Macaca fascicularis: one gene and its partner. The protein of the gene in region 1 purifies or fractionates together with the protein of each later gene. This does not show direct contact. Links are inferred from orthologs where the notes say so. Each region holds a gene or a part of one and is shown in the gene's direction. Other genes may lie near its edges. The genes, in order: RELB and NFKBIE.

Region 1 (8,087 bases):
CCAGCTTCCAGCTCCCATGAACCCCAATCCTATCTGGCTGCCCTCAGAAAACAAATCTCTAGCCAGGAGTTCGAGCCCAGCCTGGCCATCATGGTGAAACCCTGTCTCTACTAAAAATGCAAAAATTAGCTGGGCGTGGTGACCCATGCCTGTGGTCCCAGCTGCTTGGGAGGCTGAGGCATGAGAATTGCCTGAATCCAGGAGGTAGAGGTCGTGGTGAGCTGAGATTGTGCCACTGAGCTCCAGCCAGGGCAACAAAGAAAGACTCCGTCTCAAAAAGAGAAAAGAAGATAAGTGAAAAAAAACAAGAAAAGAAAAGATGCCTGGATGTGGTGGCTCACGTCTGTAATCCCAGCACTTTGGGAGGCTGAGGGGGGCGGATCATCTGAGGTCAGGAGTTCGAGACCATCCTGGCCAACATGGTGAAACCCCCGTCTCTACTAAAAATACAAAAATTAGTTGAGTGTGGTGGCGCACACCTGTAGTACCAGCTACTCGGGAGGCTGAGGCACGAGAATCACTTGAACTCGGGAGATGGAGGTTGCAGTGAGCCAAGATGGCACCATTGCACTCCAGCCTGGACAACAGAGCGAGACTCTTGTGTCAAAAAAAAAAAAAAAAAAAAAAGAAACAAAAGAAAAGAAAAGAGGAAAAGTCTCTACCCACTGACTACTAACTCTAAAAACATAGCCCTCAACACCCAGCTAAGGTACCCAGCTCCTAGCCAGCTACTAACCACTCAGACTGCTGAGCCTGGACCACCTGACCTAGTCCCACCCTGGAGATTTGAAGCTCCACCTGTTCTTCCCCCTGCCCTGCAACTGGTAACCAATGCCTGATAGCTCTGCCGCTAGCAACCACCAATCCTAGCCCACTTCACCAATCTTTGCTCTCCCATTTCCTAAACTCCCTTCCCTATTCATCCACCTTCCCCAGTATCCCAGTTTCCCAAGGTCTAAAGCACCCCTCCCTTGTGGAAGCAGTACCGCCAAGGCACTGCAGTGTAATGGTTAGGAGTATGGCCTCTGGGATCAGACTGGGTTTGAAATCTGAGCCCACAGTTTAGCAGTTTAGTTTGTGTGACCTCTGTGAGCCTTACTTTACTCATCTGTCAGATGGAGACCCTGTCTCTTACAGTCCTTTCCCGAATTTAGTGAGATGATGTCGTACGGTTATTTATCATGGTGGCTGGCGCAGAGTTAGTGCCCAGGAGATATTAGGAACTTGCTTTTTTTTTTTTCTTTTTTTTTTTCTTTTTTGAGACAGAGTCTCGCTCTGTCGCCCAGGCTGTAGTGCAGTGGTGTGATATGGGCTCACTGCAACCTCTGCCTCACGGGTTCACGCCATTCTTCTGCCTCAGCCTCCTGAGTAGCTGGGATTACAGGCGTGAGCCACCACGCCCGGCTAATTTTTTTTTTTTTTTTTTTTTGAGACGGAGTCTTGCTCTGTCGCCCAGGCTGGGGTGCAGTGGCCGGATCTCAGCTCACTGCAAGCTCCACCTCCCGGGTTTACGCCATTCTCCTGCCTCAGCCTCCCGAGTAGCTGGGACTACAGGCGCCCACCACCTCGCCCGGCTAGTTTTTTGTATTTTTTAGTAGAGATGGGGTTTCACCGTGTTAGCCAGGATGGTCTCGATCTCCTGACCTCGTGATCCACCCGTCTCGGCCTCCCAAAGTGCTGGGATTACAGGCTTGAGCCACCGCGCCCGGCCTTTTTTTGTATTTTTAGTAGAGACGGGGTTTCACTGTGTTAGGCGGGATGGTCTCGATCTCCTGACCTTGTGATCTGCCTGCCTTGGCCTCCCAAAGTGCTGGGATTACAGGCATGAGCCACCGTGCCCGGCCTAGGAACTTGCATTTTTTTTTTTTTTTTTTGAGACGGAGTTTCACTCTTATTGCTCGGGTTGGAGTGCAATAGTGTGATCTCGGCTCACTGCAACCTCTGCCTCCTGGGTTCAAGCGATTCTCCTGCCTCAGCCTCCTGAGTAGCTGAGATTACAGGCACATGGTGCCGTGCCCAGCTAATTTTTGTATTTTTAGTAGAGACGGGGTTTCACCATGTTGGCCAGGTTGGTCCTGAACTCCTGACCTCAAGTGATCTGCTTGTCTCAGCCTCCCAAAATGCTGGGATTACAGGCATGAGCCACTGCACCCAACCTGTGATCACATTTAACTGCATTTACAGCAAAACCCAAAATAACAGGGGCTTCAACAGGATGGAACGTTATTTCTTGTCTCACATAAATAGTCCATAGGGACTGAAAGTGGCCCATGCCTATAATCTCAGCACTTTGGGACGCTAAGGTGGGTGGACTGCTTCAGGCCAGGAGTTTGAGACCAGCCTGGCCAATATGGTAAAACTCTGTTTCTACTAAAAATACAAAAATTAGCCAAGTGTGGTGGTGCACATCTGTAGTCCCAGCTACTCAAGAGGCTGAGGCAGGAGAATCACTTGAACCCAGGAGGTGGAGGTTGCAGGGAGCCAAGATTGCATCACTGCACTTTAGCCTGAGCGACAGAACGGGACCCTTCTCAAAACAACAACAACAAAAAACATGCCTGGCACTGTGGCTTACAGCTGTAATCCCAGCATATTGGGACGCCAAGGCAGGTAGATCACGAGGTCAAGGGAGAGAGACCATCCTGGCCAACGTGGTGAAACTCCATCTCTACTAAAAACACAAAAGTTAGCTGGGTGTGGTGGCACATGCCTGTAGTCCCAGCTACTCGGGAGGCTGAGGCAGGAGAATCATATGAACCCAAAAGGTGGAGGTTGCAGTGAGCCAAGATGGTGCCACTGTGCTCCAGTCTGGTGACAAGGCAAAAACAAGAAACAAAAAACAGTCTGTAGGTGTGTTCCAGGGATGGTCTGGTAACTGCATGATCATCGAGAGACCCAGGCTTCTGTTATTTTCAGTTTGCCATCTCATGGTGCAAGATGGCTGTTGTAACTCCAGCCATTATGCCCACATTCCAGTTAGCAGAACTTAGTCACATGATCGCATCAGGCTGCAAGGAAGGCTAGAAAAGAGTCCCAGTAGCCTTGTATCTCTAAGGTTTGTCTTGTTCCAAAAAGAGAGTCCCTCTTTTTTTTTTTTGAGACAGTCTTGCTCTGTTGCCTAGGCTGGAGTGCAGTGGCGCAATCTCGGCTCACTGCAACATCCGCCTCCCAGGTTCAAGTGATTCTCCTGCCTCAGTCTCCCGAGTAGCTGGGATTATAGGCGCCTACCACCACGCCCAATTAATTTTTGTATTTTTGGGAGAGCCAGGGTTTTGCCATGTTGGCCAGGCTGATCTTGAACTTCTGACCTTAGGTAATCTGCCTGCCTCGGCCCACCAAAGTGCTGGGATTACAGGTGTGAGCCACCATGCCTGGCCAGAGAATCCCTCTTATAATGAAACTTTTTGATTTGATTGTTATTTTTTCTTAAGTCCTCATTATGCCTAAGAATGACATTTTTTTTTTCTTTTTTTTTTTTTTTTGAGACGGAGTCTCGCTCTGTCGCCCAGGCTGGAGTGCAGTGGCTGGATCTCAGCTCACTGCAAGCTCCGCCTCCCGGGTTTATGCCATTCTCCTGCGTCAGCCTCCCGAGTAGCTGGGACTACAGACGTCCGCCACCTCGCCAGGCTAGTTTTTTGTATTTTTTAGTAGAGATGGGGTTTCACCTTGTTAGCCAGGATGGTCTCAATCTCCTGACCTCGTGATCCGCCCGTCTCGGCCTCCCAAAGTGCTGGGATTACAGGCTTGAGCCACCACGCCCGGCCGACATTTATTTTTTCTGACAATTTTGGGACTGGTGACTTCCCAACTTGTGTCTCCCATGGTCTGGAGATTTCACTTTTTGGGTTGTCTCTGTATGTTGGGGGGCTTTGGAACCTCTTCTCCTTCCTCACTCTCAGGGAAAACTCTCCACAGCTGTGTAGGAGCATGGTTTCACATGCTAGTTCCACAACAGTTGTGTGAGCCTTCCACTGACTTTCCCTCAGTGCCCTCAGTGCCTTAGTTTACTTCTTATTATCACTACTTTTAGAGACAAGGTCTTGCTCTGTTGCCCAGGCTGGAGTGCAGTGATGTAATCATACTTCCCTGCAGCCTCAAACTGGGCTCAAGCAATCCTTCTGCCTCAGCCTGCCAAGTAGCTGGGACTACAGGCGTGCACCACCACACCCAGCTAACTTTTAAATAATTTTTTCGTAGAGACAGGGTCTGCTATGTTGTGTTGGGATTACAGGTGTGAACCACCATGCCAAAAGGCTACATTCTTGGCCTTCAATTTAGTTATTATCTGAGAATGGTGATAGTCCCACATGGATTCTCCTTGGGATTAAGATGGCACCTTAAGGCCAGGCTTGGTGGCTCATACCTGTAATCCCAGCACTTTGGGAGGCTGAGGCAGGTGGATCACCTGAGGTCAGGAGTTCGAGACCAGCCTGGCAAACGTGATGAAACCCCATCTCTACTAAAAAGAATAATTAGCTGGGCGTGGCACGTGCCTGTAGTTCCAGCTACTCGGGAGACTGAAGCAGGGGAATCGACTTGAACCAGGGAGGAAGAGGTTGCGGTGAGCCAAGAGTACACGACTGCCTTCCAGCCTGGGCGACAGAATGAGATTCCATCTCAAAAAAAAAAAAAAAAGGCCACCTTGATATCACATTTTGCAGGAAGTGGGGCATTTGAATTAGGGCCTGGTCAGAAGTTGGCCCTAAATCACACTACACTTCTCTGTCTTCATCCCCGTAGGCCCGTTCCTCCCGCCGTCAGCCCTGCTGCCAGACCCTGACTTCTTCTCTGGCACCGTGTCCCTGCCCGGCCTGGAGCCCCCTGGCGGGCCTGACCTCCTGGATGATGGCTTTGCCTACGACCCTACGGCCCCCACACTCTTCACCATGCTGGACCTGCTGCCCCCGGCACCACCACATGCTAGCGCTGTTGTGTGCAGTGCCGGAGCCGTGGTTGGGGAGCCCCCTGGCCCTGAACCGCTGACGCTGGACTCGTACCAGGCCCCGGGCCCCGGGGATGGAGGCACCGCCAGCCTCGTGGGCAGCAACATGTTCCCCAATCAGTACCGCGAGGCGGCCTTTGGGGGCGGCCTCCTATCCCCCGGGCCTGAAGCCACGTAGCCCCGCGATGCCAGAGGAGGGGCACTGGGTGGGGAGGGAGGTGGAGGAGCTGTGCAATCCCAACCAGGATGTCTAGCACCCCCATCCCCTTGGCCCTTCCTCATGCTTCTGAAATGGACATATTCAAGCCTTGGCGAGAAGCTCCGTTGCACGGGTTTCCCCTTGAGCCCATTTTGCAGATGAGGAAACTGAGTCCGGAGAGGAAAAGGGACATGGCTCCCGAGCACTAGCTTGTTAAAGCTGCCTCTGTCACCACATGTGGGGGAACCTTCTCCAGTAGGATTCGGAAAAGATTGTACATATGGGAGGAGGGGGCAGATGCCCGGCCCTTCCTCCCCAGACTTGAAGGTGGGGGGTAGGTTGGTTGTTCAGAGTCTTCCCAATAAAGATGAGTTTTTGAGCCTCGGGAGTTTCGTCTATTCTGCGCTTGGGAAACGCCCTAGTTCCTTACGTAGCAAAGAAAGCCTCCTGGCTGGGGGCTCAGGCCTGTCATCCCAGCACTTTGGGAGGCCAAGGCGGGAGGATCGCTTGAGCTCACGAGTTTGAGATCAGCCTGGGCAAAAAGACGAAACCTAGTCTCTACAAAAAATACAAAAATTAGCCGGGCATGGTGGCGCATGCCTGTAGTCCCAGCTACTCGGGAGGCTGAGGTGGGAGAATTGCTTGAACCCAGGAGGCAAAGGTTGCAGTGAGCCTAGATCGCGCCACTCTAGCCTGGGCGACAAAGACAGACTCCGTCTCAGAAAAAAAAATAAAATAAAATAAAAAAGATAAAAAGATGGCTGTAACATTCTAGTTTATGCCCTGAAAAGGGGAATATAGTCATTCTATAGTGTTTGGAGATTTTGGGTTACCCTTAATTGTATGCAAGTTGTCTTACTGTGTATTGTCCCTTAATTTCAGGACTCAGATTTCATGCTTGAAGAAATGCAGGTTAGTTTAAACTTTCAAGGAAATTTTTTTTTTTTTTTGAGATGGAGTCTGGCTCTGTCGCCCAGGCTGGAGTGCAGTGGCTGGATCTCAGCTCACTGCAAGCTCCGCCTCCCGGGTTTACGCCATTCTCCTGCCTCAGCCTCCCGAGTAGCTGGGACTACAGGCGCCCGCCACCTCGCCCAGCTAGTTTTTTTGTATTTTTTAGTAGAGACGGGGTTTCACCGTGTTTGCCAGGATGGTCTCGATCTCCTGACCTCGTGATCCACTCGTCTCGGCCTCCCAAAGTGCTGGGATTACAGGCTTGAGCCACCGCGCCCGGCCTCAAGGAAATTTTTAAGGTGGCAAAAGGTTTTAGTGGCATATACATCTTAATCTGTAGATGGGAGTGATTAGCTGTTTAAAAGTTGAAATGTGACTGAAAAGGAAATGGAGTAGGGCAAATTTTAAATGGGATTATTTTTCATCTTCAAACAGGCAGACCTGTTATCCTAAACTAGGGTTTTTAATGACCACAGCAAGCAAGCATGCAGCTTACCGCTTGAAAGACAGGGTCTTTCCTCACCCAAGCTGGAGTGCAGTGGCCCTCTGAAGCTTACTACAGCCTCAGACGTCTGGGCTCAAGTGATCCTCAGCCTCCCAATGGTCTTTGTAGACAGCCTGATGGAGTCTCATGGCACAAGAAGATTAAAACAGTGTCTCCAATTTTAATAAATTTTTGCAATCCAAAAAAAAAATAAATAAAAATAAAAATAAATAAATAAAATTAAAAAAGATAAAGCATCCAAGCTCTTCCCTTCTCGGTTCTACCGCTTCTTCCTCTGACCCCGCCCCTCTCAACCCTAGGACCCGCCCCTCACGTCGGCGGAACTGCGCTGTGCAGAGCTCCACCACGCTCCGCCCCCTCTCCCTAGCGCGGCCTTTCATTTCCGCTTCCTGTGCGGGCAGCGCGCGAGCGCAGCTTTGGGAGGCGGAGACCAGCCGGTGAGTGCAGGCGGCGGGCTCGACCTCCCGGTTTTCGGGCAGGCGTCAGCCCAGCTTCTCCCTTTCCTTAGGCTTTTCCCATACTGCTGTAGGCTTCTGCTGCGTCCCGGCCCCGAGGATCGCTCGTCCCTCACCCCATTCGGCCTGACGGGCCTCAGGCCGCGCCCGTGCCCCGGCTGTGGGCCAGAAGTTGCCGCGTCGGACTCGGCCTTCGGCCAACAGCTTATCACAGTCCCCGCCCCCATGTCAAAAAAAAACCCAAAAAAAACAATCCAGCCCAAATCCTCAGGCCGCGACGCGATCCACAAGCCCTGTCCAAACCTTCGGTCTCCTCCCTTTCCCACAAGCCCTGCCCCCAAGCTCAGCCCACGCCCTCCCGTCAGCCAACTCCGCCTCTCTCAAGCTCTACCCTCTTTTTCCTTGGGTACTCTCCACACCCTGCCATCTAGATCCCATCTTTAGACCTCAACTTCACTCTGGTCTCCTTGCAACACTCTCTTCCCGTGTTCCTACTCCCTCTAGCATCTTCATTTTCCGCCACGCCCTTCACCTGTCCTCGACCTCCACCTTCATGCAACTGCACTGTTCCCTTAAAGGCTTTCTCCGATTTCCTCCACCTGCCTTCATCCTTACCTTCCTTATCCCTCTAGCACCCAGACTCATACCCACGCATGGCCCCTAGTGGGAGCCTTTTCAGCTCTTCTCTTTCTCTTGAGCTCCAGCCTTAGGTGCTCAGGGTTTGCCGTCTGACCCTACTTCAAACTACTGACCCTACTGATGTTTCAAAACTTTCATCCCCGACTCCAGCGCATGGAATGTAGGACACCCCTTTCCCAGGGATGCTCACCTCAGAATCACCTAAGGGTTTTTTAGAATGCCCAAGTTGCCAGATCGAAGTTGTTAGGGATGGACTTGAACATCTGGCATACCGTTCTGCAGCTTCACTTCTGCTCCCTGAAGCTAAGCGATGTGTTGTTTGGGATCGACTCTGTCACCAACTTGTTAGATGACTTTGATTCTGCCCATATGGTTTTCACAGCCCATCTTCCTTTC
Region 2 (8,194 bases), on another chromosome or scaffold:
CGAAGGAGTGAGTCAAGGCCCGGGAACCACAGACTCCAAGCCTACGCAGAGCCCGGGAAGGGGGATTCCGGAGGGGCGGGGCCTCTTTCCGGAAGCGCCCGCCGGGGGCGGGGAGGGGGCGGGGCCACCCGGCTTGCAGCGACCCTGTTGGTCCGGAGGGGCGGGGCGAGGAGGAGGACCCGCTTGGGCGGTTCGGCTGCCCACAGTAACCGCTGGGTGGACCCGGCCAGCGCTCCGAACCTTGTCCTCGCTGTGCGCCGGCCTCTCGGAGCCCCACAGCCCGGGAAGGAGGCCGCCGCGGGCCTGGCGCCCGCTCTGCCAAGCGGACCCGCAACCCGGAAAGGCGGCGCGGCAGAGCCCGTAGCCGGATCCTGCTTAGACCGGGCCCCCGCGGGCCAGCGCCGCGGGCATGTCGGAGGCGCGGAAGGGGCCGGACGAGGCGGACGAGAGCCAGTACGACTCTGGCATTGAGTCTCTGCGCTCTCTGCGCTCCCTACCCGAGCCGACCTCGGCTCCCGCCTCCGGGCCCTCGGACGGCAGCCCCCAGCCCTGCACCCACCCTCCGGGGCCCGCCAAGGAACCACAGCAGAAGGAAGACGCGGATGGGGAGCGGGCTGATTCCACCTATGGCTCCTCCTCGCTCACCGAGAGCCTGTCCTTGCTGGGGGGTCCCGAGGCTGAGGACCCGGCCCCACGCCCGCCACTCCCCCACGTGGGGGCGCTGAGCCCTCAGCAGCTGGAAGCACTCACTTACATCTCCGAGGACGGAGACACGTGAGTATGGGGGCTAGGCGGGATGCTAACTCTGGGCCTGCCCAAGAGCCGCAACAGGCCGGGCACCCCTACTCCCCCGTGAGGATCCTTCAAGTCCCCATTCACTGTTCCAAACTCCAGACTTAACTCTCAGCCAACTTTTGAGGTCCAGCCAGGCCATGGCATCATCTCTGTTCTCCCATTTCGGGGTGGGCAGAGCTGGCAGGACCCTTAACTCAGGGACCCCAGCCAGCATCTTGGAAATCTACCAATAATCCACCCTTAGGAAGAGAAAATTCCCCTGACCGAGTCCAGTTTTTTTGTTTCTTCTTGCTGGGGAAGGGGACATCCTTATTTGCTCAATATCTGGGATTCCCAGTTCCTGACCTCAGAATGCTCTGTCTCCAGGAGCAACAGGTGCCAGTTACAGGTTGCCAGTAGGGGCCAGGAAGCTAGGCGTGGGGGTGCCACCAGGGTGTAGGATTGGGGCTGGTCCTCAGGAGGAGGGGGTGAGCCAGGCTGGGGCACTCTTGCCCCAGCAGACAGATAGGCGGCTGGCTGCCCCAGCTTACTTCCTCCTCTGCTAAGAAAGGGGAAGTGAGGGCTAGAGTCAGCGTCCCTGATATCCTCTACCTCCAGAGACCCCAAGTCCCACTAACTGTTGTGTCTTACTCCCTCACTTAACCCTTCCTCCTTCAGACCCAGGTGGAGTTTTGTGGGAGTGGGCCAGAGGGCAGTTGAAGTAAAAGGCAGTTGTGTGTGATGGGTTGGCCAACTGAGGATTTAGCCCCCCAGGAAGAAGAAAACATTGACACAGGAGGGAAAGGTTGGGATCTGGGGATGAGAAATAGAGTTGGGGAGGGCTAGAATCCCTGATCAAGGGTGCTCATATAAATAGGAGTAGGGGAGGCAGGAGGTGGCTGTCCTAACCTGCTTTTTGGAGATGCAGGGTCCCAATCCTGGGTGGCCATTGATAAAGATAGCTGGTGCACACAGTGGGTGGGAGAGGAGTGACCCAGTCCTTTCTGTACTCTGCCTGGATCACCAGCCCTCAGGTCCAGAACCCCAAGGTTTTGGGGGCTGCATGCAAGATACCTCTGATGACCTTTGATCCAAGGAGAGGGAACTTTTGACACTGCCGTCTTTTGTTAGCCTCTCAGCCCCAGCCTTTTCCATCTCTAGTTAGAAGCAGGTGTTGTGTCCAGACTGGGTGTGTGTGTGGAGGGGAGAAGTGTCCGGGCTTCCCAGCGAGTCCCCAGAGAGGAGGGGCACTTTCCTCCCTCCGTTGGAGGTGTCTGGGCTGTGGGAGGTATGGAAGTGGGAAGAGGAAGTGGGAGGAGGGGATACTGGGGAAGAGAGGGAGGTGGCTGCAAGAATGTGACCCAGAGAGCAGGCCCTGGCCGAGGGGATTTCCAGAGCAGTTCCTCCCTCCCTCCGTCACTCTCCTGGGCCTCTCCTGCTGCCTGCCGCCGAAGCCTGCCGCCCTCCTGCCCAAGCAGTCCCCTCCCCAGTCCAGACGGGCCTTTTAGCCAAGCTACCCCCCTCACTCATGCCCCAAGGCAGCTGTCCCGGCCTAGACCCTCCAGCACTGGCTTTCATTTTCCCCACCTGACGTGGGGAAACCCCGAGACTGGAACTTCCCCTCCCAACTGCCCCCATTACCCCTAGATTAAGGTTCTTGGCCCCCTCAACAAATACATTTTCTGCACTACAAAGACCTCCTCTTGGAGGTGCACACAGGAATGGATGGCCTCTGTTAGGCCCGACCTGGTCTGTGCTATCTGAGAGGTGTCTCTTGACTCCCAGGGAAGGGCAGCAGGACAGGATGCTGCACTGTCTCCTTGCTCCTCTTCCAAGAGTTTCTGTGTCTCTCCCTTGGAATGTGTTAACATTGAGTTGCTTGGGGGTATGGGGTGACCCTGCATCTGTCTCCTTTCCTGTGAGCTGAGGTAGTGGGGTGCTCGGCCTGGAAACCCCCTCTGGACTACTTCGGCAGCTTTCAATTTGGCTTTGAGCTGCAGCTGGCCGGGCAGAGCCCTGAGGGCAAAGAGGAGTGGGTGTGGGCAGGCTGGACAGGAAGGCCCTTGTCCTGTCAGCACCCTGCCCACATGCCCATCCAGCCAAGGCCCTCCTGAAGGCCAGCAGTGGGAACTTGGAGCTCCAACCCCTAGGATCCTGGCTTCCCACACCAACCCTCACTTCCTGGCCCACACTCTCACTTCCTGAACCTACCCTATGGGTAGCTAGTTAAAGTTTGATGTGTTCCTTCTAACCCCAAGACCCCAACCCACTCCCTCTGGCCTGGGCCCTAACGCTGAGCCCCGCCTCTGCTCCCCTAGGCTGGTCCACCTGGCAGTGATTCACGAGGCCCCAGCGGTGCTGCTCTGTTGCCTGGCTTTGCTGCCCCAGGAGGTCCTGGACATTCAAAATAACCTTTACCAGGTTGGTGGCGAGAGAGGGTTGTGCCTAGATACCTGTTTGTGCCCTGGCAGCCATCCCCAGCAGGCACACCAGTCCAAAGGCTGCTCACTTAGGAAACCAAATGCCAGACACAGCTAGAAACTGAGGAGACAGACACAAGTAAGACATGGCCTCTGCGCTGAGGTGCTTGCAGCCTGGGCTGGGGGACTCATATCACCAGCTAAATACACAGCCTGGTGACAAGAGTTGTGATAGAGACACATACCAGCTGCTGTAGGGTCCAGGGTCTGTGTGCAGCAGCCAGGGAAGGCTTACAGAGGAGATGACATCTGAATGGAGCCTTCACAGAGAGTTTCGCCAGGGAGGGACTGCCTGGTGCCTCTCTTTCCTCCTGCAGCCTACCCTCTGGGGGTAACAGAGGTCTCCCCATGGGGTGGGGGGCTAGACTCTGCCCCCACATGTCCTTTCTCCAGGGCCTAAGGTGACTTACAAGAAAAGCAGGGAGCTACTTTCTTCACCTTTCTTCCAGAATTGGGGTCACAAGAGCTTGGTGGGGGAGGGGGTGACAGGAGAAGGGCTTGGTAGGATTTCCTTGGAAGAACAGGCTATGGCCTTAATGAGCTACTTTCAAAGAAGATGCTGGCAGCTGGTGATTCTTGAGCCCAAGCAGGTTCCCAGAGGTGGGAGCATGCTGCAGTGGCCCCATGACCCTCTGTTTGTGCCTCCAGACAGCACTCCATCTGGCTGTACATCTGGACCAACCGGGTGCAGTTCGGGCACTGGTGCTAAAGGGGGCCAGCCGGGCACTACAGGACCGGCATGGTGACACAGCCCTTCATGTGGCCTGCCAGCGCCAGCACCTGGCCTGTGCCCGCTGCCTGCTGGAGGGGCGGCCAGAGCCAGGCAGAGGAACATCTCACTCTCTGGACCTCCAGCTGCAAAACTGGCAAGGTGTGGACAGTCTTAAGGGCCTGTGGGATGAGGAGGGCATAGGAGATAGGGACCCCACTCTTGGGGAAGGGAGGGTCCCAGCTTGTCCATTGGTGCCCCTCCCACTCTAAGCACATAGATATTCCGTACATCTTTGCTAAATGAATGAATGGATGATTTGATTTTGAATTTACCCAGTACCTACTGTGTGCTGAGCAGAAAACTAAATCTTGCCCTTAAGATACTTAGTTTAAGGGCCGGGTACGGTGTCTCACGCCTGTAATCCCAGCACTTTGGGAAGCCAAGGCAGGTGGATCACGAGGTCAGGAGATCGAGACCATCCCAGCTAACATGGTGAAACCCCGTCTCTACTAATAATACAAAAAATTAGCCGGATGTGGTGATGGGCACCTGTAGTCCCAGCTACTCAGGAGGCTGAGGCAGGAGAATGGCGTGAACCCGGGAGGCGGAGCTTGCAGTGAGCCAAGATTGGGCCACTGCACTCCAGCCTGGGCGACAGAGAGAGACTCCATCTCAAAAAAAAAAAAAAAAGATAGTTAGCTTAATAGAGATTAGATGACCTGATTCATTCATTCAACAGAAATGTACTGAGGGTTTTCTATGTGCCAGACATTATCTTGGGAGCTACACCTGCATCTGGGTGCAAAATAGAGAAAGGTTGAGATGAGCAATAAATATAAGAAGTGAACTGTGTAATATCATAAAAGGAAGTAAGTGCTGTAGTAAAAAGTAGAGCGGAGTGAGAGGAAGGAATGTGGGGAGTAGGAGAGTTGATATGATTGTTAAATAGGGTGGCCCGGGAAGGCCTCATGGAGCCAGTGACATCTGAATAGGGCCTTGAAGGAGGTGAAGAATGTAAATTTGAATCGAAATCTCTATTACTAAGCAAGGGTCAGGAGTGTCCAGACCAGAAAGGAGAGCAAAAAGGCCAGGGGAGCACAGAAGGAAGTGGCCACTGAGAAAGGGCTAGGGTCATGAGGATCTTAGGTGGCTTTTCAGAAAAGGTGGCTTTCTGGGCTTGAAGGCAGGTTGTGTGTGTGTGTGTGTGTGTGTGTGTGTGTGTGTGTGTGTGTTGTGATTTGTGTATAGGAGGAGGGTGTTCTTTGGGGGTGTCACTCAGCAGCCTGACCCCTGAAGCATGAAAGTTTCAATAACATGACTCTGAAAAGGTGGAAACTTTGAGTTCCTTTCCCCTTAGACTTTTGAGGGGGTTTTGGGGTTTGCATTTTAACAGTCTTGTGATTAGAGACATTGAGTGGGCAGTGAGTCCCTTGGGGCTGAGTGATAGGGAGGTCCCAGAAGAGAGGGAGTTGGTGGATGCAGATGAGCAGCCCTCACCCTCACCCCATCCCAGGTCTGGCTTGTCTCCACATTGCCACCCTTCAGAAGAACCAACCACTCATGGAACTGCTGCTTCAGAATGGAGCTGACATTGACGTGCAGGTGAGGCAGCCAGCAAAGCACTGCCCAGCCCAGGGCCTGCCCCCACCTGACACAGCCCCAAGCCCCTGCCCAGCAGTCAGAAGTGGTGGCATTCACCTCCTTATCCAGAGCCCAGGCCCAGCACACTGCCTCTGAGGGCCTTGGCTGACATCCTTATTCCTTCCCAGGAGGGCACCAGTGGGAAGACAGCGCTGCACCTGGCTGTGGAAACCCAAGAGCGGGGCCTGGTACAGTTCCTGCTCCAGGCTGGTGCCCAGGTAGATGCCCGCATGCTGAACGGGTGCACACCCCTGCACCTGGCAGCTGGCCGGGGCCTCATGGGCATCTCATCCACTCTGTGCAAGGCGGGTGCTGACTCCCTGCTGCGGAACGTGGAGGATGAGACGCCCCAGGACCTCACTGAGGAAGTAAGAAGCATATGCTTTGCTCTCCAGGGCCTCACACACCCACAGCAGAGAGAGGTTCTGTCATTAGCTGAAAGGGCCAGGGAGCCAGGAGTCCTGGGGTATAACCAGGACTCTATCACTGACCAACTATGGGAACTTGAGCCTGTTTCCTTAGTTGGTCAGGACCAGGGAGCCAAATTTGGACCCCTACAGGGAGCCTGCAGTTAAAGTGAATCAGTGAAGTTGGCCAGGTATGAGACCATGGTGTAATGAGGCCTGTAAGAACCCAGAGAGCCATCCCTGAGGGTCTCTGCACTCAGCTTCAGCACAGGCTTACAGAGCAGGAGTGTGGGCCAGTTTTTCCTGGTCTTGGAATTTTTGGGGAGGTGAAACCCAGATTTTCTGTACAGTCTTTCCTATTCTTAAATGTTCAGTGTAAAAAAAGAAACCTAAATGTTCTATGAGTACCCAGCACCCCCTCCACCACCCCCCAACAACAACAAACAACTCCAGGTCCATGGGCTGGATCACCTCTAAGGTCCCTCCTAAGTTGGATATTCTGGCATTATCTTAGAAAAGGAAGGCTTGCCTAAGTCCTCAGGGCTCTGCCAAGCCCAGAGGGGCCACTATTTTGAGGATTTGTATGAAGATTTGTTCCCTGATGGTCTTCAACTGTCATTTGGTGGGGAGGGAGTGGCCCAACAGGTTTCCCTGGGTCCCCTTTCCCAAGTTGCCTTTTCCCGTGTCCTCTGATCTTGCTTCTCTCCATTCTCCTTCTCAGTCCCTTGTCCTTTTGCCCTTTGATGACCTGAAGATCTCAGGGAAACTGCTGCTGTGTACCGACTGAATCCAGGCAGAGTCTGGGATCCTCGGGGCTCCATCTCTTTCCATTTGGAAGCCGGAGTCATAACTGCTGCAGTTTGGGCCCAGGCTGTGTGTTCTTCTGGTGCCCTAGGGACTGCTGTGGCCAGAGCTTGGGGCCAGCCAGTACAGTCCTGAGCTGAGGAGGAGGGACTGCAAGTGAGAGACAGCCAGTCTGGAAGGAAGAGCTTTCCAGGTGGACAGGGATTCTTGGAAGATCCCCAAAGTCCCAGGTATCCTGGGTGAAGCCTGTTTGCCTCTCTTGAAAATGGCAGGTGCTCTTGTGTGTGCCCATGTTGGGTCAGGCTGAAACTGCCAACCAGTGGGAAACATGGACTCTCCTGAGTGAGAAGAGACTGAAATAGGAGCAAGCAGAACCCTGAGGGGTGTCCCATCTTATTGCTGTTGAGGACCCTTAAACACTGCTGTTTAAAGACTTCACAGGGAAGGTTCTGAACTGAGCCACTGGGGAAGGAACTTTCAGTAACATGACACTAAAATGGCAAGAGATGTTAAAAAAAGCTTTTCCCTTCTAGAGCTGTTTTGCGCGCATGCATGTCTGTGTGCATTGGGGCTTTTTAGACAGGCCTGCCCTGTGGCTTTGTCGTGGAGGTAGAGAGAAGGAAATTGTGCCCTGAGCACGGTAGGACCTTGCTGGGTGGGGTCAGAGGCCAGTAGTCCCCAGGCCTTTCTCTGTGTCCAGCACAGACCCTGTCCTTGCTGTGGAAATGATGAGGGATAGAAGGAGAGGAGGAAGAATGAGAGGACACAGGCCCTGGAGCCCTCACCACTGCCCTGGGGGCTGCCATCTGGAGGAGCCTGGCGACAAGGGTAACCCAGGGAGGCTGGGCACAAGGGAGCTGAGTCCACGTTTTTCCTCCCATTCCTCACCTTCGAGGGCCCTGCTAGGTCAGCCCTATGCTGGCATGAAGAGCGTGGGGCAATAAACCAGCACAGTCGCTGACCACTCATCCAGTGAGGGAGACAGCCGTTAAAAGCATAAACATCCAAATAAAGATGTCCTTACAAGTTGCAGTGGGTGCTATGAAGGGAAAAGAATAATGGGAAGGAAAAGGATGGAGTCGGTAGAGGGTTATGCTTTTTGTGGTCCGGGAACCCCGCCTGAGGAGTATCATCTCAACTGGGATGTAAGGATGAGTAAAGGGATGGGGGCAGAGCATTTGGGGGAAGGCCTGTGAATTAGAGGAAATGAGAGCAAGCCAGCGGGGCTTCACAGCGGGTGAGTGAGTGGGCGAGGAACGCTGGCGAGGCCATGTAGAGCCTCGAAAGTCATGGGAAGTGGGGGGACAGAATTACTACCCAGCCAACAAAGGAAAGAGACACCTTCGTTCTGTCAGAAAACGGGGAAACTAACACAG

The links.
Region 2: the proteins of RELB (region 1) and NFKBIE purify together in Homo sapiens (affinity purification with mass spectrometry; 3 studies listed by BioGRID and IntAct, counting the BioPlex papers as one, with this or other methods). This does not show direct contact. The link is inferred for Macaca fascicularis from reciprocal best matches to the Homo sapiens genes RELB and NFKBIE.

What each region holds. Positions count from the first base shown.
Region 1 is NC_088393.1:53,073,608-53,081,694, forward strand, and holds the end of RELB (transcription factor RelB), read left to right. Parts: intron 1-4,740; coding exon 4,741-5,120; 3' UTR 5,121-5,522; downstream 5,523-8,087.
Region 2 is NC_088378.1:127,253,227-127,261,420, forward strand, and holds NFKBIE (NF-kappa-B inhibitor epsilon), read left to right. Parts: upstream 1-204; 5' UTR 205-409; coding exon 410-774; intron 775-3,092; coding exon 3,093-3,195; intron 3,196-3,902; coding exon 3,903-4,125; intron 4,126-5,479; coding exon 5,480-5,568; intron 5,569-5,735; coding exon 5,736-5,975; intron 5,976-6,735; coding exon 6,736-6,801; 3' UTR 6,802-7,844; downstream 7,845-8,194. UniProt on the Homo sapiens protein: Sequesters NF-kappa-B transcription factor complexes in the cytoplasm, thereby inhibiting their activity. Sequestered complexes include NFKB1-RELA (p50-p65) and NFKB1-REL (p50-c-Rel) complexes.